Mus musculus: one gene and its partners. The protein of the gene in region 2 purifies or fractionates together with the protein of the main gene of each other region. This does not show direct contact. Links are inferred from orthologs where the notes say so. Each region holds a gene or a part of one and is shown on either strand. Other genes may lie near its edges.

Evidence for each region. The genes of interacting proteins can lie anywhere in the genome.
Region 1: the proteins of Exoc1 (region 2) and Exoc8 purify together in Homo sapiens (affinity purification with mass spectrometry; 3 studies listed by BioGRID and IntAct, counting the BioPlex papers as one, with this or other methods). This does not show direct contact. The link is inferred for Mus musculus from reciprocal best matches to the Homo sapiens genes EXOC1 and EXOC8.
Region 3: the proteins of Exoc1 (region 2) and Exoc3 purify together in Homo sapiens (affinity purification with mass spectrometry; 5 studies listed by BioGRID and IntAct, counting the BioPlex papers as one, with this or other methods). This does not show direct contact. The link is inferred for Mus musculus from reciprocal best matches to the Homo sapiens genes EXOC1 and EXOC3.

The regions. Positions count from the first base shown.
Region 1 is NC_000074.6:124,894,203-124,900,186, reverse strand, and holds the start of Exoc8 (exocyst complex component 8), read left to right. Parts: upstream 1-2,481; 5' UTR 2,482-2,560; coding exon 2,561-4,711; 3' UTR 4,712-5,984. Other genes in the region: Sprtn (sprT-like domain-containing protein Spartan), read right to left, coding at 1,012-1,111, 1,806-2,029. UniProt on the Homo sapiens protein: Component of the exocyst complex involved in the docking of exocytic vesicles with fusion sites on the plasma membrane.
Region 2 is NC_000071.6:76,531,692-76,537,243, forward strand, and holds part of Exoc1 (exocyst complex component 1), read left to right. Parts: intron 1-1,063; 5' UTR 1,064-1,073; coding exon 1,074-1,197; intron 1,198-3,862; coding exon 3,863-3,993; intron 3,994-5,552.
Region 3 is NC_000079.6:74,205,198-74,211,518, reverse strand, and holds the start of Exoc3 (exocyst complex component 3), read left to right. Parts: upstream 1-2,818; 5' UTR 2,819-2,861; exon of another isoform or gene 2,862-3,696; intron 3,697-4,421; 5' UTR 4,422-4,438; coding exon 4,439-4,612; intron 4,613-6,321. UniProt on the Homo sapiens protein: Component of the exocyst complex involved in the docking of exocytic vesicles with fusion sites on the plasma membrane.

The sequences.
Region 1 (5,984 bases), on a different chromosome or scaffold from region 2:
ATTAATTTTCTAGGGCATGTCTAAAGATAAAAGGAATTCTCTTTCTTTTTTTTTTTGGTCTTTTGAGACAGGGTTTCTCTGTGTAGCCCTGGCTATCCTGGAACTCACTCTGTAGACCAGGCTGGCCTTGAACTCAGAAATCCGCCTGCCTCTGCCTCCCAAGTGCTGGGATTAAAGGTTTCTGCCACCACGCCCGGCATGAATTCTCTTTCTTAACCTGCAGTCCTATCCTTCTGCAGACCCAAGTACAAACCTTTACATATAATATTCCAAGCTCTGCAGAACCCAGTCAACAATCCCCTTCACAGAATTAACATTTTTCACAAAGGCCCATTTAACTTAACCAACCCAAACCCAAAAGGTCAGTGAATCCAACCACACAAAACTTTAAAATCCTGATAGTGAAAACTCTACAATCCAGACTCCAGGTGCCGAACCGGAAATGCCAACACTGAAAGAGCCGACAGCCTGGTGCGTACCCGTGATGGCAAATCTCAAGATGGAGGCAGAAAGCTCAGGCGTTTGAGATCAGCTCACCATCAACCCCTCTAAAAATAGCTGGGTATGGGCATGACAGCTCACTGGGGAAGCTGAAGCAAGAGAAGCATAAAGACCAGGGCCAACCTAAGGAACAGAGACTCTTGTCTCTTAAAATCAACAAAATAACCTGGCCAGGAATGGTGGTGCACAGCTGTAAACCCTTGGGTAGAGGCAAGAGGATCTTGTGGTTGAAGCCAGTATGGGCTGCTATCAAGAACCCATCTCTAGCCGGGTGGTGGTGGCACACGCCCTTAATCCCAGCACTTGGGAGGCAGAGGCAGGCGGATTTCTGAGTTCGAGGCCAGCCCAGTCTACAGAGTGAGTTCCAGGACAGCCAGGACTACACAGAGAAACCCTGTCTCGAAAAACAAACAAACAAACAAACAAAGAACCCATCTCTTAAAAATAAATAAATAAATAAATAAATCCTGCAAATCAACTTGTTGAGAATCAGGCTTATGCAAAGAATACCTCTACAAGGTCCTTTCTTGGTCTCAGTTTTAACAGGGGCTCACTGAGACGGATGGAGCACATGCCTCCTCTCCCTTCATAGGTGCAGATCCCAGCACACCTGGAAAACAGTCACAACAATGGATTAGGGTCAACGAATACAGAGGAGACAGAACAAAAAGCAAACCTTAGTCTGGCATGGTGGTGCAGGCCTTTAATCCCAGCACGTGGAAGGCAGATGCAGGAGGATCTCCGAGTTCCAGGCCAGCCTGGTCTACAGAGTATGTTCCAGGACAGCCACAGATACATAGTGAGGCCCTCTCCCCTCTCCCCACAAAAAAGGGGGTGGGGGTGGGCAGCAAATCCCTAACAGTTCTTGGGCAAGAACTGTTTCACAAGAAAACGTCCCTGATGGGAGGATGGCTTTCCTGAGTGGGTCACTTGGCTTCAGAGAGTTAACACTTGCTAACCCTCACCCACTGTCACCCTCTCCCCTCCGCACAGGCATACATGGGCACTTCTCCCAAAACAGTCACAGGGCTGGTATGAGGTTAGAAGTACACTACGTCTTAGCCTGCTTTACCTCAAGCTGCTATGTGACAGTGTATGTGCGGGGCAGATTACTATCTCGAATAGGATTTCTCAAACTCTGATAAGGGATCCGGCTGGTTCATCACTGAGGGACGTTGGGCCCGGGACTGGGGAGTGGGCACGTTTCCCGGCGACCTCTCCCTGCGCCGCGAGGCGGGGACACCAACGACAATTTAGCGGCCTGGCCCTTCCCGACGTTCCGAGCCGTTCGCGGACGCACTCACAGGGTCATGCGCACACTCCACTTCACCTCCACCGCCTCCAGCTGACCCCAGAAGAAGCGATCGTTAAACTGCAGGAAGAGCGCCTGCAGGTCTGGGGTGGGGTCCACCAGCTCCCAGGACGCGTCCACCAACGACACGGGCTCCCGCGCCGCCGCCGCGCGCCGCGCCATCTGCACGTCCCACTCCTCCTGCAGCCGCAACGCGACCACCAGATCCTCGTCCATCCCGCTACTCCCACCTCGGCCGCTCCCAAGACGCCGGTCGGGCTCGTGCGGCGCACGGATCTCGCGAGGCCTCCCGGCCCTGCTGTCAGGGCGCGCGGGCTAGCCTCGAACGCCTAACCGAAGGTGGCTCGGCGCTGCCCCGCGGGCACAGGCTTAGGAACGCTGGGCTCGGGCTGGGGACGGCTTTAGGCAGCCGGTTGTCTCCTGACAGCCGCTGAGGTCCGGCGACACACGTCAAGTCTGGTCCGTGCCGGACCCTCCTCTGACTTCCGTGCTGGCTCGTCCGCGCACGCGCCTTAAGACGCTGCCGTTTCCGCGCAGGCGCATTGTCCGCACTCCGCCCCGGGCGCAGGCGCAGTGCGAGCGGCTCGACTCTGGCACAGGCGCAATGCAGCGCTCGGCTCCGGCGCAGGCGTTTGGGTGTTGCTCCCGCCCCGCTTCCTCCGCTGCCTTCTCCACCGGGCTCGGGTGGGGCCCGGAGGCGGCGAGTAACAGCCACTGCGGGCCGCGGGAGCAAGACGAGTGGCAGCCATGTCGGACAGCGGGGCGAGCCGCCTGCGGAGGCAGCTGGAGTCGGGGGGCTTCGAGGCGCGGCTGTACGTGAAGCAACTGTCGCAGCAGTCGGACGGCGACCGCGACCTGCAGGAGCACCGGCAGCGGGTGCAGGCGCTGGCAGAGGAGACGGCACAGAACCTGAAGCGCAACGTCTACCAGAACTACCGGCAGTTCATCGAGACGGCGCGGGAGATCTCCTACCTGGAGAGCGAAATGTACCAGCTGAGCCACCTGCTGACTGAGCAGAAGAGCAGCCTGGAGAGCATCCCGCTGGCACTGCTGCCCGCCGCCGCCGCGGGCGCCTCTGCGGGTGAGGACACGGCCGGCGCGGGGCCGCGGGAGCGCGGGGCGGTCCAGGCGGGCTTCCTGCCCGGGCCGGCGGGCGTCCCTCGAGAGGGTTCCGGGACGGGCGAGGAGGGCAAGCAGCGAACGCTCACCACGCTGCTGGAGAAGGTGGAGGGCTGCAGGGACCTGTTGGAGACGCCAGGTCAGTACCTGGTGTACAACGGGGACCTGGTGGAATACGATGCGGACCACATGGCCCAGCTGCAGCGCGTGCACGGCTTCCTCATGAACGACTGTCTGCTGGTGGCCACCTGGCTGCCACAACGGCGAGGCATGTACCGCTACAACGCACTCTACCCGCTGGACCGCCTGGCGGTGGTCAACGTCAAAGACAATCCGCCCATGAAAGACATGTTCAAGCTTCTCATGTTCCCCGAGAGCCGAATCTTCCAGGCGGAAAATGCCAAGATCAAGCGCGAGTGGCTGGAAGTGCTGGAGGAAACCAAGAGGGCCCTCAGCGACAAGAGGAGGCGGGAGCAGGAGGAGGCAGCAGCCCCGCGTGCGCCACCACCGGTCACTTCCAAGGGCAGCAACCCGTTTGAGGACGAGGATGATGAAGAACTGGCCACCCCTGAGGCGGAGGAGGAAAAGGTTGACCTTTCCATGGAGTGGATCCAAGAGCTGCCGGAAGACTTGGATGTTTGTATTGCACAGAGGGACTTTGAGGGTGCCGTGGACTTGCTGGACAAATTAAATCACTACCTGGAAGATAAGCCCAGCCCACCTCCTGTGAAAGAGCTGAGGGCCAAAGTGGACGAACGAGTGCGACAGCTCACCGAGGTGCTTGTGTTTGAGCTCTCCCCGGATCGCTCTCTGAGAGGCGGCCCCAAGGCTACTCGGAGAGCCGTGTCTCAGCTGATCCGGCTGGGCCAGTGCACGAAGGCTTGCGAGCTGTTTCTGAGGAACAGGGCCGCAGCCGTGCACACTGCCATCCGCCAGCTCAGGATTGAGGGCGCCACGCTGCTCTACATTCACAAGCTGTGCCACGTCTTCTTTACCAGCCTCCTAGAGACCGCGAGAGAGTTTGAGACGGACTTTGCAGGCACTGACAGTGGCTGCTACTCTGCCTTTGTGGTCTGGGCAAGGTCGGCCATGGGCATGTTCGTGGATGCTTTCAGCAAGCAGGTTTTTGACAGCAAGGAGAGCCTGTCCACCGCTGCTGAGTGTGTGAAGGTGGCCAAGGAGCACTGCCAGCAGCTGGGAGAGATTGGGCTGGACCTCACCTTCATCATCCACGCCCTGCTGGTGAAGGACATCCAGGGCGCCCTGCACAGTTACAAGGAGATTATCATTGAAGCCACCAAGCACCGAAACTCGGAGGAGATGTGGCGCCGCATGAACCTGATGACTCCTGAGGCCCTGGGCAAGCTCAAGGAGGAGATGAAAAGTTGCGGGGTCAGTAACTTTGAGCAGTACACGGGAGATGACTGCTGGGTGAACTTGAGCTACACGGTGGTAGCCTTCACCAAGCAGACTATGGGCTTCCTGGAGGAGGCATTGAAACTGTACTTCCCTGAGCTCCACATGGTGCTCCTGGAGAGCCTGGTAGAAATCATCCTGGTGGCTGTGCAGCATGTGGACTACAGCCTGCGCTGTGAGCAGGACCCCGAGAAGAAGGCCTTCATCAGGCAGAACGCATCCTTTCTCTATGAAACTGTCCTCCCGGTGGTGGAGAGGAGGTTTGAGGAAGGTGTGGGGAAGCCCGCCAAGCAGCTGCAGGACCTCCGGAACGCATCCCGGCTCCTGCGGGTGAATCCCGAGAGCACGACTTCTGTGGTCTGAGGCTCTGCTCTGTGTCTTTGTGTGTGTACGTGTACACGTGCTACAGATGCGTCATTTGTATTTACATTACACAATGTCAGCACATTCCTCAGAGACACAGACAGCATATAAAAGTGCCCTCTGAAAAATGCAGTCAAAAGGAGAAAGATAATGTGTTAAGCATCACATACAACCCCCCAATACTGGGACTGTCAAGAGCACATACCATGTCTTGCTCTGTTTTTTAATAATTCTTTAAGTAGAGTGTATGGTCACACCAGAACATTTCAGGCTACTCTTTAACTTGAAAGACACTTCTCACGTTAGCACATCTAGGAGCAGTGCACTTCCATGCTGCCTAGAAAAATATTAGGTCCACAGGGTTTAAGTATGTTGTAAAACATTCCAAGTCAACAAAATGGCTTCGTAATGGTCAGTGCTGTGTGACACACCTGTGTCCTGTACTGAGACAGATCAACATGAAAAGAAATGAGTTGGGAAAACTGGTTTGGGATAAATTTCAATATGTGGGCCTCAGGTCTGTCAGTATTTGTAGCATGTGGAAGGAAGCCTTTATAAAACTTTGCAGGCATCCAAAAGTCACTGAAAAGTAGCATGTTCCATGGCTAATTGGATGCATCTTTTTGGGGGAGGTGGGAGAATCACAAGGACTACGTTGAATTTTTAACATATTCCAGAACTGAATGGATTTGCTGCTGCAGCGTGTTTTGCCATGTTCAGGAAGTAAGTCTTGCTGAAAAGCCACACCAAGGATCCTAGCAGTAGGCGGGTAAGTGACTCCAGCCCCTGCAGACACTTCACCACCAGCCTGGGTTTGGAGGCACTGAGACTTCTGGCAAATGCAGAACTCCCTGTCTGAGAAGAGTTCAGGCTGTGTGTAGGTTAGGAGTTTTAAAAAAAAGAATGCAATGTCACTCCTTAAGAATGCCAGAGATTTGGTTTTGGTCATTTTGTTTTCTTGAGATAAGTTTCAGCCCAGACTGGTTTTGGGCTGGTGCTGTAACCAAGGATGACCTTGAATTTCTAATCCTGACTCCACATCCCAAGGGCTGGGATTACAGGAATGTGCCATAATGCTATTTATGCTGTGTTGGAGAAAAAAAACCCTGGCTTTCTCATACTAGGCAAGCACCCTACCCACTGCTACACCTGCTGCCCTGATGGTTTTTGAAACTTAGTAACTGAGTAGAGATGCACATACCTCAAGCACAGGGAAGGGACCTTCTGTGACTCTTCAAATGCTGTGCTGCATTTTAAAAAACAAGAGCCTGGC
Region 2 (5,552 bases):
CTCTGCATCAGCTCCTGCTTCCGGACTTGCTTGAGTTCCAGTCCTGACTTCCTTTCGTGATCAACAGCAATTTGGAAGTATAAGCTGAATAAACCCTTTCCTCCCCAACTTGCTTCTTTGTCTGATGTTTGTGCAGGAAGAGAACCCCTGAGTAATACAGGCGTGCTGGCTAGTTTTAGGTCATTGTGGCACAAGCTAGAGTCATCTGAAAGGGAACCTCAGTTGAGAAGATGCCTCCAAAAAGATCTAGCTGAAGGGCATTTTTAAAGTTAGTGTATGATGGGGGCTGGCTCATAATGGTAGTTGCATGCTTGACTTGTAGAAGAAAGTGCCGGACTGTTTTCTAAAGCCTCCGAACCATTTGTGATCCTCCCAGCTGTGTGGGAGTTTCCTTCATCAGTGCTGCTGTGTGTCCATTGGGATTTTAGCTCTCCCAACAGTTGAAAGCAGTAGCTATCTCACTGTGGATTTCAGTCGCATTTCCCAGGTGGATAATGGTATGGAATATTTGGGGTTTCTGGTATGCATCTTTGCAAAAACCCAAGGGCAACTGCACATGGTGTTCTTCAGTGTACCATTCATACCCCTTTTCTTGGACATGGTGTCTCACCAGATTGGCATTCCACCAATGGGTGAAGCTGTCTGGTCAGTGAACTCCAGGGATCTGCCTGTCTCTGCTTCCCCACTGCTTGCTATGTGAGCTCTAGAAATTAAACAAGATTGGACTTGTGTCCTCCACGTACTAGGAAACACTTTACCAACAGAGCTGTTTCCTCAGCTCTGTAATGAATAATTTTTAGTATATTTATTGGTTATTTGTACTTGTGTGTGTGTGCTTGCATATTTGTATATATGGGTAGTATCTTGTGTGTGTGTGTGTGTGTGTGTGTGTATATATATATATACTGGTTTCTCTGATTTTATTTCCAAACTTGAAGCCCCATGCTTTTATGTTGTAGATGATTAATATATTTATGTATTAAGAATGTATCGTTCAAGTCATAAATGGAACACTTTATGAGGGAGGGCAGTGGTTTTGAGAATTATTCTAAATGTTTTTCAGCTGAGAAAAGATGACAGCAATCAAGCATGCGCTGCAGAGAGATATCTTCACACCAAATGATGAACGCCTGCTGAGCATCGTGAATGTCTGCAAAGCTGGCAAGAAGAAGAAGAACTGTTTTCTGTGTGCCACAGGTAGGTGGTTATTAAGCAAAAATATGTACTTGATACCTTCCTTAGGTCATACTCTCATTGTTTCTATAACTGGGAGAGTTATTGGGCTGATAAGTTAATTTTAATTGTTAATATTGATTGCTGGATGCTGTAAGAGAATTTTTATAGTGTATGTCTAAGGTGGCTGACAAGGGAAAAGGAGGACTCCGGGTGCGCAGTGTAGGGTGACAACAGCTCTTCTTTACCCCATTCCTTTCTGCTCTCCAGTGGTCAGTGTCTGGGATCCTGCATCTTACCACATTCCCCATGTGTAATTTCCATTTACTTGTCTTTAAACGTTTAATAAATTGAATTAAAATTCCTTGTGACCCTTCCCATTCAGCAGTAGATTCATGAGAATTTCGTTTTATTCTGGAGTTTTTATTGTTTTGTTTTTGAGACATGATTTCACTCTGTATTTCCAGCTGGCCTGGAGTTTATATTGCTCCACCCGCCTACGCAGTCTGCTAGCACAGCTGGCCATGAGTTGAATCTGTTCTTACACAAGGCTCTAACACCATCATAGTCACTGCCATGGCAAGCTCCGCTGTGAGTGTCCCATGGTCCCCATACCCACCCCACCAGGGTGAGCAGTAGGTTTGTGCCTGAGCTTTGCTGTTTAAACAACTCGTCTGTGAATGTGTTTGTGCTTGTCTTGTGCTTACACACCAAAATTATTTTAAGGCAGATTCTTGGATGTGGATTCTGCTCTAATATGCAGTTATTTTTAAAAGGGATGCTTTTCATTCCCACAGCAGTGTGGTTGGTTACCTTGTGTTCTCTACACCCTAATCAACAGTTGCTTCTGACAGACTAGTTGTCAGGATGGCAGCGTGACATAGTATCTGCCTGTGGTTTTGAAATGCACTTTCCTGATTAATGATGGGGTTGAGTGTCCTCTGTGAAGTGACTGGCCGTTTACTTGAGTAATGTATGGTTTCCTATTGGATTGATGGTCATTACCCAGATTTGTATAGTTGTTCTTAATTATGATTATCTGGGTAGGTATTATAAGATAGATCTATTAGCTGCATAGATATTTCTATTATGTGGTTGTATACTTTCTGTTTTGTGGCTTATCTTTACACTTTTTGTGGTTACTCTTAATGAAATTTAATTATCATTAAATAAAATTACTTTGATGCTTTATGGTTTTTACTGCATTATTTTGTAAAGGTTTTGATTCACTTGTGTCTTAGAGAGTGTTGTGTATTTGTATCTGTCTGTCTGTCTGTGTGTGAATGAATGAGCACATGTTTGTATTTCACGATTTTTTTTCTTAAATCTCATTTTGTTTTACTTTGTTCTTTACTCTTTCATCTTAATTTTAGAATCAACTTCTTAAGTTCCAGATTCTGTTGTGTTTTGATTGGGATTGTTTTTAAGCTATCTTTTAAGTTGTAGGGAACTTGCATTTTTATTAATGATGATTATGCCCATAAACATGTTTATTTTCTGCTTTTATAAGCCTTGCTGTTTTCTTTAAAAGTTTCTTCCTTTGGTCTGTGTGTTGTTACCAGTTATAATGTAACTTGATGAAACAAAATGGTACGTTTTATAAATGCCCTGTTTGCCAGTATACTGGTTTAAAATTTTGCATTCATGTTCCTCATTTATGTGTAGTTTTCTTCTCGATACCTTCGGCTGGTTAGCCATAGTTATTAAATAAGCCAGTACATGCCCCTGGTGTCCTCACTAGAATAGTTGTGTGTTTGGAGTTATTCTCTTCTTGCAAACTTGGCAGGAGAAGCAGGTAGCAGTGCTGGACTAGTGTGGGAGGTGGGGTGACGGCACAGTTTTGCCCAGCAAGTGTAGTTTAGTGCGTATCTTCCCCAAATATTCTTTAGTCCAGTGGTTCTCAACCTTCCTAGTGCTGCTACCCTTTAACACAGTTCCTCATGCTGTGGTGACCCCAAACATAACATTTTTGTTGCTGCTTCATAGCTGTAATTTTGTTTTCTGTAATATCTGTTTTCAGATGGTCTTAGGTGGCCCCTGTGAAAAGGCCTTTCAGCCCCCAGGTTGTGGACCTCTGCTTTAGTCCATTTGGGTATATTAAAATTTCTAAGAGAGTATTTGGGGGTTTGTTGTTTGTTTGTTCATTGTTGTTTGGAAAGCCATTTGCTTTTCAAATGTATCAGCATTTATTTCAAATCTAAACTCCATTCTTACGCCAGAGTTGTATTTTGGAACCTAGAGCCTGTAATTTCTCCAATAGCATCCCTTGCTGCCTCCGCTGGAGCCCTCGAAGAGCTGAGCATCCACCCTTTGTGGTAACTTCATTCCTATCCACCGCATATTACGCCGTGCTGTCTGTGTTGAATACTTCCTGTTGCTCTTCGTGAAGGCATTAGGCTCTTTCAGGACTCTCAGACTTATGCATATCAGTCACTAGATCTCTGTTCTTACACTCTGTAAGAGAGGCCTGAAGCTTTACCTCTCGGGCATCTCTCAGCCTCCAGCTCTCTAGTCTGGTTTAGATGCTTCCTTTAGGACTCTGTAACGGCCTCGGCTGACTTTTCACAAAGCATTGCCTTACTTCAGTGTTGCCGTCCAGGTTCCCAAGAGCCACATTTAGAGTGTGTGCAGGAAGAATGAGTCGGGGACTGATAGGCTAACAGTCGTGTCTGTGTGCTTTGTTCAACAGTGACCACTGAACGCCCCGTGCAGGTGAAGGTGGTCAAAGTCAAGAAATCCGACAAGGGAGATTTCTACAAAAGGCAGATTGCTTGGGCCCTGCGAGACCTTGCTGTGGTCGACGCCAAAGATGCCATCAAAGTAAGTTTTCCACAGTCCTTTGCTTGTGTTCAGGAAGAGTCTTTCTTGTTCCATAGAGCAGTGTGTGTCCTGAGATGGTCTAAGCTTGTTCTGTGGCTGCAGGTCTGCCCCCTGCTAGTCTAAAATGCGTTCATCTCTGCTTCTTCAGGCCTGCTATTAGACCACTTAATAATAATAAAACTACATACATGTGCTTGGTTCAATTTTTTACTTTGTTAAAGCTACAGTTATATTTGTGTTCAAACTACATAAACTAGAGCAAAATAAACTTAATACTATATATTTCTTTATTTAAATATACTTAATATAAAATTCTATCAATTAGTATGGATTTCAAAGTAATATGTTGTGTGAGTTAACTCTAAAATAGTCATTGTTTTGGTAAGCCTTGATTCAAAAGCATGTGTCGTACATAAGGGAGGGGGTCTTTCTGTTTTAATCCTCTCAAGTGAAATGAGGACTCCGCAGCTGATGGAGCCAATCTGGGCATTGGACATTTGTGGTTCAAATAAAGGAAGTGATGTGGGCTTACACACTTTATTTTGAGGTGATTAAATAAAATTTTAAAGCTATAAATTTTATACCTTTCTTTGAGTGTGCTCAAACTTCAAGGACATGGCATGACTCAGTATTCACATTAAAGGGCTCAAGGCAGTTGAGCTCAGCAGGGTCCTGTGAATGTCACCAGAGCTCTCTCCCTCTCTCAGTTAATGGGGCCCTCCCTCTACCTTCCCTCCTGGCTAGCTCTGACCCAGTCATTGCACAGTGGAGCACAGCAGCACACCTACTGTGTGTTGGTGGGGCACAGAGCAAGGCTCACACCACTGTCACTCTGAGACCTCTGCTGGATCTCCTAAAGTCCTGCCTGCTTGCCAGAGGTACAAAGCAGAGAAAAGTGGTAGAGGCGTTTGAGGAAGAAACATTGCTGTGCAGTGGCTGTCCTGGTTAGTGTTTGTCAGCCTCACACAGACTTGTCACGGGGAAGGAAGCAACTTCACCTGAGGAAGTGCCTCCATCCGACTGGCCTCCAGGCATATCTGTGGGGCATTTTCTCCATTGTTGATTGAGGTGGGAGGGCCCAGCCTCTGTGGGTGGTGCCATCCCTGGGCAGGTGGTCCTTGGAGGTATACTAAAGTGAGAGCATATACTAAGTGAGAGCATGGGAGCCCACCAGTCAGCAGCTTCCCTTCGTGCTTCCTGCCTCTGCTCTTGCTTGAGTTCCTGCCCTGACTTCCCTCTGTGATGGACAGTTACCTGCAAGTGTAAGATGAAGTAAGTCTTCCTTCCCTGGGTTGGTTTGGTCAGGGTTTCAGCAACAGAGAAGCTGACTGGACACCGACTCGCAGACTTGGAGAAGGTGTAATGTGACTCAGATTGTCTCCGTTCCCTAAACAACTTTAAGGTGCACTGACACTGCTGCCTTTTGAGATGGCTGTAATTATTCTACATTTTCAAAACAGTAACCTGAGTGCAGCTCTTGTTTCTCACCTCAGTCTTAGAAAATACACAAGGGTTTAGATTAAATTTTTTTCCTTATGTTTTAATCAGGCATATTCTTT
Region 3 (6,321 bases), on a different chromosome or scaffold from region 2:
AAATCTCCCCAACTTGCACTTTTGCTCATTCATCACAAATCTCCAGTCAGCTTGCACAGGAAGCGAAGAGAGGTTGTTCCTATTTTAGCATTTCACCATATACACTAACTACAAGTTCATGGTTTTTTGTGATAGCTAGCTTTTGCCTATATGGCTAAAAAAAATATCAAAAATTAAATGTAGTGAGAGATGGGCTGGGGAGGAATAAATACAAAGTGCCCTTATATTTGCAGATTCGACTGGGGGAAAGTCCTCAAGAACTTTAGGCATACACTACAGTGCAGCTGTCTGTGCTGTTTTCTTGGTGCTCTGTTTTAACAGAGAATCCAGATGCATTTCTCATGTGGTGGTTTGTACTACATTTGCAAAACTTGTGTAAAATAAATCTCATATTTCTATGTATTTAGTGTGAGATTGTGTGCCTTTTCCTTCAGAGGGTGTTTTGGATTCACGTTCTAGGATTGCAGAAGGGGATAATAAATGTGAAAGTAGAAAGGTTGGAGTTAAGGGTTGGTATTGGGTCCTCCTCTGCTCTCACGGGGGTGGGGTGGGGTCAGGAGCCTCCTGTGCCCTAGGACATCCCAGAGCAAGGCAGAGCAGAGGGATCTTTTCACCCAATGATATTTTTATTCTGCAATAGATACATTTTAACCTTTTTTTCTTTATGGCTCATGTACTTTGTATTTTCACAACAGTCTCTGTGGCTTTTGACAAAACCTGGGAAGTTGATGTTAATGTCACCATCCACAAATTTTTTCAGGCTTTAATTGGCTATTATGAGAAAACTTCCTCCACTACTAACCCCTTTGTTTCCTTATGTTTTAAATTTTCTCTTTTAACAGTTTCACCTTGCTTAATCCACTTACCTGCACTCATCTGAACATATTTGTACTTCCCACTCTGTTCTTAATTATGCATCAAGTCTCCCTTTTCCCACATTCTCTTCGGTCTGAAATCCTCTATGCTCTCTTCCTTGTCTCTGTTCTACTTGTTTGGAGGCTACAATTCTATCTCTTTGGTGCATATTTAATAACATCTACTGTGTAGCTCATCAAGAAGTCTGGCCTCTGAGAACATGAACAAGTTTTGGCCACATTAAGACTCACTTCTATTAAGATTGAGGGGGCCCAAAGAGCCCTTCTGGATTTTCTTTGCCAAAGGCTAGGCCTTAGCACTACTCTTCACACTGAAGAGGAGGAATCTGTCCCAAGTGCAGTGTCTTTGGCAGCCTTCTCTACTTCAGGGCCTAGCATAGCCATGTAGCCTTCTAGCCATCCCCAGGATAGATTGGTTCTGTTGTGTTTCTGGACCCACCTGTTCACCAAGGAAGCTCTAAGGTGATCATCTGGGTTTCTAGGATTCTCCATATGCTCTTCACCTACTTGGAACCCATGCCTTCTCCTTTGTGTGGGCAGGTGTAAAAATGGCTTTGGGGCTACTCTCCCTGCTTCAGGGCTGCAGAACCTTTAGTCACTGCTTCATTTTTTTTTTTCTTTCCCTACTTTGGCTCTGGTCATTCCTAGGCCTACCTATGAACTTACTTGTACACTCAAAAGTATCCTGAGCTTTGTCACTCTGTGGCTTACCAAAAACAAAAGCTGAGATTCTTATTTTATTTATTTAATTGAAAGGAAACAAGCTGAGTCATCTACTGAAGCAGTTCACATCTAACTAGGCTAGTTAACTGAATTCGTTAGGGAGCACCATGACTAAACACTCCACTATATAGTGGGCAGCAGGAGATTAGGGTTGGATATAAGGTAACTAAGGAAAACCGCAGCTTTGTCTTGGTAGCTGTGCCTCCCCACTTTGCAGTTAAACATTCATGAAGCTGAAATTTCTCCTGTTTTGTCATAAACTAAGGGGTCAGGGCACTTTCCCAGTTGCAACCCCTACACTAAGGGAGGGTCTGCATCTTTAAAAGACTGACTTCATCATATAATTTGCATTGTGGTTATGACAGGTTACCTATACTGTTCTTTCATTTACTGAAGATTTACCCCATCATCCATTGGCTTGGGAGAGCCAGACTTTGTAGTGATGTTATGGATAGGCACACAACTCAACAAATGTATGCAGAAAAGGTGAAAAAAAAAAAACACAACCAAACCTGTCAGGGTAGGGTTGTCATACCTGATGGGTGAGTGGAAGAACCTAAACCCCGCCAAAATTTACTAAAAGTTCGTAACAGTGTGGGGAAATCTCTGTATCTGCAGAGGTAGAACAAAGTTTCTGGCTGTTCTAGGTACCGGGGCGACTCGATGCTTCACTGCTTCCTTCAGCTGGAGTAATTCCACCAGCTGCTGTTTTGCTCGTGGTTTTGTTTTCTTCGCCGCTTCTACGTGCTACGCGAGCAGCTATCAGCAGGCAGCCCACTCTCTGTGGCACTGTCCTGAATACTTGAAATCTACTTGCTGTCAGAAACCTCTGGGGGATGAGGGCGAGGACAGCAAGAAGAAACAAATATACGAAATATAAGTAGTGGAATCTTGAATACAAGACACAGTAAAGATATGGAGAGGTGTGGAGAGACTAAGGTAGCTAAGGGGAGGAACTGAGCAAGGGCAAACCTAAGTGGTTAATCCGGAGAGAAAGGGTGGGTACAATAGGTGCTACTTAAAATAAGAGGGTCGGGAGAGCGCCAAACGTCAGACGGCGGAGCCAGGCCTGAATCTGTAATCCCTGATCCTGAGTCTGTGTCACCAGAAGCACAAGTTTCCTAAGAGTCTACAGAAAGATCGCCCGTACAGCGCCTTCAAGGTTACCCAGAGCCCATCCTTCCGCCCAGACGCCGGAAACGGAAGTGACCGCGTTGCACACTTCCGGTCCGGCTCCGGGAGGTGGCAGCGGCGTTGCGGACGGTGAGGAAGCTCTGCTCTGACAGCCTTGGGTGCCTGTGCGGTGGGCGGGGCGCTGGGCCCTCGACTGTGGCACAGTGTACCCCTTAGTGGGTTTGTCCTTGGCGAGGGACAGCATCGGCCGACGTTTCTGGCGGGATGCGACACCCTCTAGTGCGGGTCCCTGGGCGGGTTTGGGTTTGTCCTCGGTGTGCGTCCCTCCCATCTCCTTGGTCGGGGCTGCTTCTACCCTCAGAGTTCCCTTTTGCCCCAGAGGCCGGAAATCTGACAGTCCTCAAGCTGCCATTGGAAGCAGATTTGGTGGCGATCCAGTACAGTTTTTTTAGTTTTTGATTCTCTGTGTTCAGGTTTATGAGTGGACTCTTTCTTGCAAAGCTTTTTTGGTTTTGGGTCAGCTTTCCTTTTGCATCTGGCTTGTAACACTGCCACAGGAGTGCCTTTCACCTGTCAGCTGGAGTGGGGGACTCCATGCCAGAGGGATGGTTTGGTATTATGTTTAATACCTAGTCCTGTAAATAGAATTATACAAGTTTTAATGTTTTGGGAATGCTGAAGATAACATGTCAAACTAAAGCAAAAGAAAAAAAAAAAAGCCCGCAGTGAATCAGTCCTGTTAGAAGTGGTTGTGGAATCCTCTTTCTGTGGCCTGCTCAGATTTCCTGTCTGGGTACGAGTAATTTTATAGTCAGAAGATGAAGATGGTGTTTGCAATGCTGTTCCACTTGAATGAAAATGCAAAGAGAGAAATACACAGGGAGAAGCTACATAACTGGAAATGTACAATGGATTTTAGTGGTTTTCTGAGACTACTTGGGAATAGAGTGAAAGATTCCAGAAGGTAGGTCTTTATCACATCTGTGGCTGTTGAGTAGCTGAAATTAAAGGAAACAGTGTTATTAATTCCCTCATTTGCTGGATAGTCAGCAAATAGCCATTGTAGGTCCATGACTTGGATAGTATTAGATATTAGACTAAAGGGTGATTGACCGGGTACATTTGTGCTTAGGGGAAACAAGCTACTCAAGTAAGGACAATAAATTACCTTTTGCTGTCTTATCTTTGTTTTTAGAAGTGTTCAAAAGTAAGAAGTGGTATCTTGGCCACCCAGAGCAATGGTAAGGGAGTATAAGACTCGTGTTTGCCCACTGGGCTGCTGCTGAAGTGTAGGTAATAGTTGTTGCCTTCCAGTGACTAACTACCCCATGGACTTGGGCAGCACTAGGGTGAGCTCCAGAAATGAAAAGCTGATCTTTTATAGGGCTAAGAATTGTGTTAGAGCTGCCTTTGACATAGTCTTAAGTCCCTGTATAAATACTCTCTGTGTGACTGTCTTACGCCTGTGAGATATCCCTGCTTCTCTCTGTTAAGGTAAAATCTTCTTAGCAATTGAATTCTAAGGATTTGCAGTTTTGTTAAGGAGTTTATGACCCAAGTTCAGCTTTCATTTCTAGTTTGCTAATTTAAATGCCATAGAAATTCTCCATTAGTTGCATGGTGAGCACATGACCTTTGCATGTGGAGTCGTCACTTCATTTTGACATACCCTCTCCTTTGTGTATATAGTGTACCTGTGGTATGACATGTGCAAAGATTCTGCCTGCTTTTTGACAATGAAGGAGACAGACCTGGAGGCTGTTGCAACAGCAGTCCAAAGGGTTGCTGGGATGCTTCAGCGCCCAGACCAACTGGACAAAGTGGAGCAGTATCGCAGAAGGGAAGCTCGGAAGAAGGCCTCTGTAGAGGCCAGGCTAAAGGTAGGAGACCATAGAAATGACGGGACTGAGCATTTGTCTTGAGTTTCTCTTCGCCACTACCCTGCTTGCCTACCACCCTATTTTATGGAAATATATTCTCAACTGAGGTTGACTCAGTCTTGTGACAAGTTAACATAAAGTTAGTCAACACAGTATAGTATATATTATGTGTGTGTGTGTACATATACACTTAAATCTAGATTCTGTATATGAAAGCCTGGTATTTTTGTCTTTCTTCTTACTGTTTTTTCAAGTTCCTTTCATTTGGACTAGCAGTTCTCATCCTGTAGATCATGATCCCTTTGGGGATCGAGCAACCCTTTCACAGGGGTCAGTCACCTAAGACCATCAGAAAACACACATTTACAGTAATGTTCATAATAATAGCAAAAAATTTAAAAAGTACATTTATGAAGTAGCAAGGAGCCGGGTGGTGGTGGTGCACATCTTTAATCCCAGCACTTGGGAAGCAGAGGCAGGTGAATCTCTGTAAGTTCAAGGCCATCCTGGTCTTCAGAGCAAGTTCCAGGACAGCTAAGGCTGTATAAAGAGACCCTATCTGGAAAACCTACCTACCAACCAACCTACCAAACAAAATGAAGTAGCAACAAACATAATTGTATGGTTGGGGTCACCACAACATGAGGAACGTGTTAAAAGGCTGCAGCATTAGTAAGATTGAGAACCACTGCTTTAGACTCTTTTCTTCATACCTCATAATCCCCTTTAACTTTCATGCTCTCTCTCTCTCTCTCTCTCTCTCTCTCTCTCTCTCTCTCTCTCTCTGTGTGTGTGTGTGTGTGTGTGTACTTAAATCTAATTTCTTTAACTCTGAAAGAAGACATGCAATATTTGTTTTTCTGAGTATGACTTATTTAATCAAAATGACCTCTAGTTTCTCTCCTTTCTTTTTTCTGCAGATGACGTAATTTCATCTTTCTTCACAGTTGGATAAAATTCTATTGTGCACTTTATCCATTCATCTGTTGATGGACTTCTAGGCCAGTTCTGTGTCTTGGCTTTTGTGAATAGTGCAGCAATAAGCACAGATGTGCTAGTAGTATCTCTTTCGCTTGTGACATAGACTCTTTTGGGTGATAGAGCTGGATTGTATGGTAGTTTTATGTTTTGAAGATACCTCCATACTGAGGCACATACTTGTGTACCATGTGCCTGTCTGGTGTCTGCAGAGGTCAGAAGAGGGCATTAGGTGCCCCAGGAACTGGGATGGATGGCTGTGAGCCACCATGTGGGTGCTGGCGACTGAAGCCAGAACTGCAAGGGCAGCAAGTGCTGTTCATCACCAAGCCATCTCTCTGCCTCCCAGCGTGTTTTTTTTAAATGATAGCCATTATGATTGGAGTGAGATAGAATATTAATGTACTTTTGTTTATCCAGCTATTCTTGCTTCTTTGATTGATGGTTTTGTGTGTGTGTGATGGTTTTAGGCAAGATCTCGCCATACACCTCTGGCTGGCTTTGTACTCCCTGTGTAGCCCAAACTGGCCTCAAATTCACAATAGTTCTTTTGCTTTAGGGCTTGAGTGCAGACTTTACAGTTGTGTGTCACCACATACACCCAGTATAGTTTCAATTGCATTTTCCTAAAGGATAATGTTGTTGAACATTTTTTCATGGATCTTATTTGCATTTCTTCTTTTGATAGCTATATGTTCAGTTTGTTAGCTTGTTAATGGAGATTTGGGGTG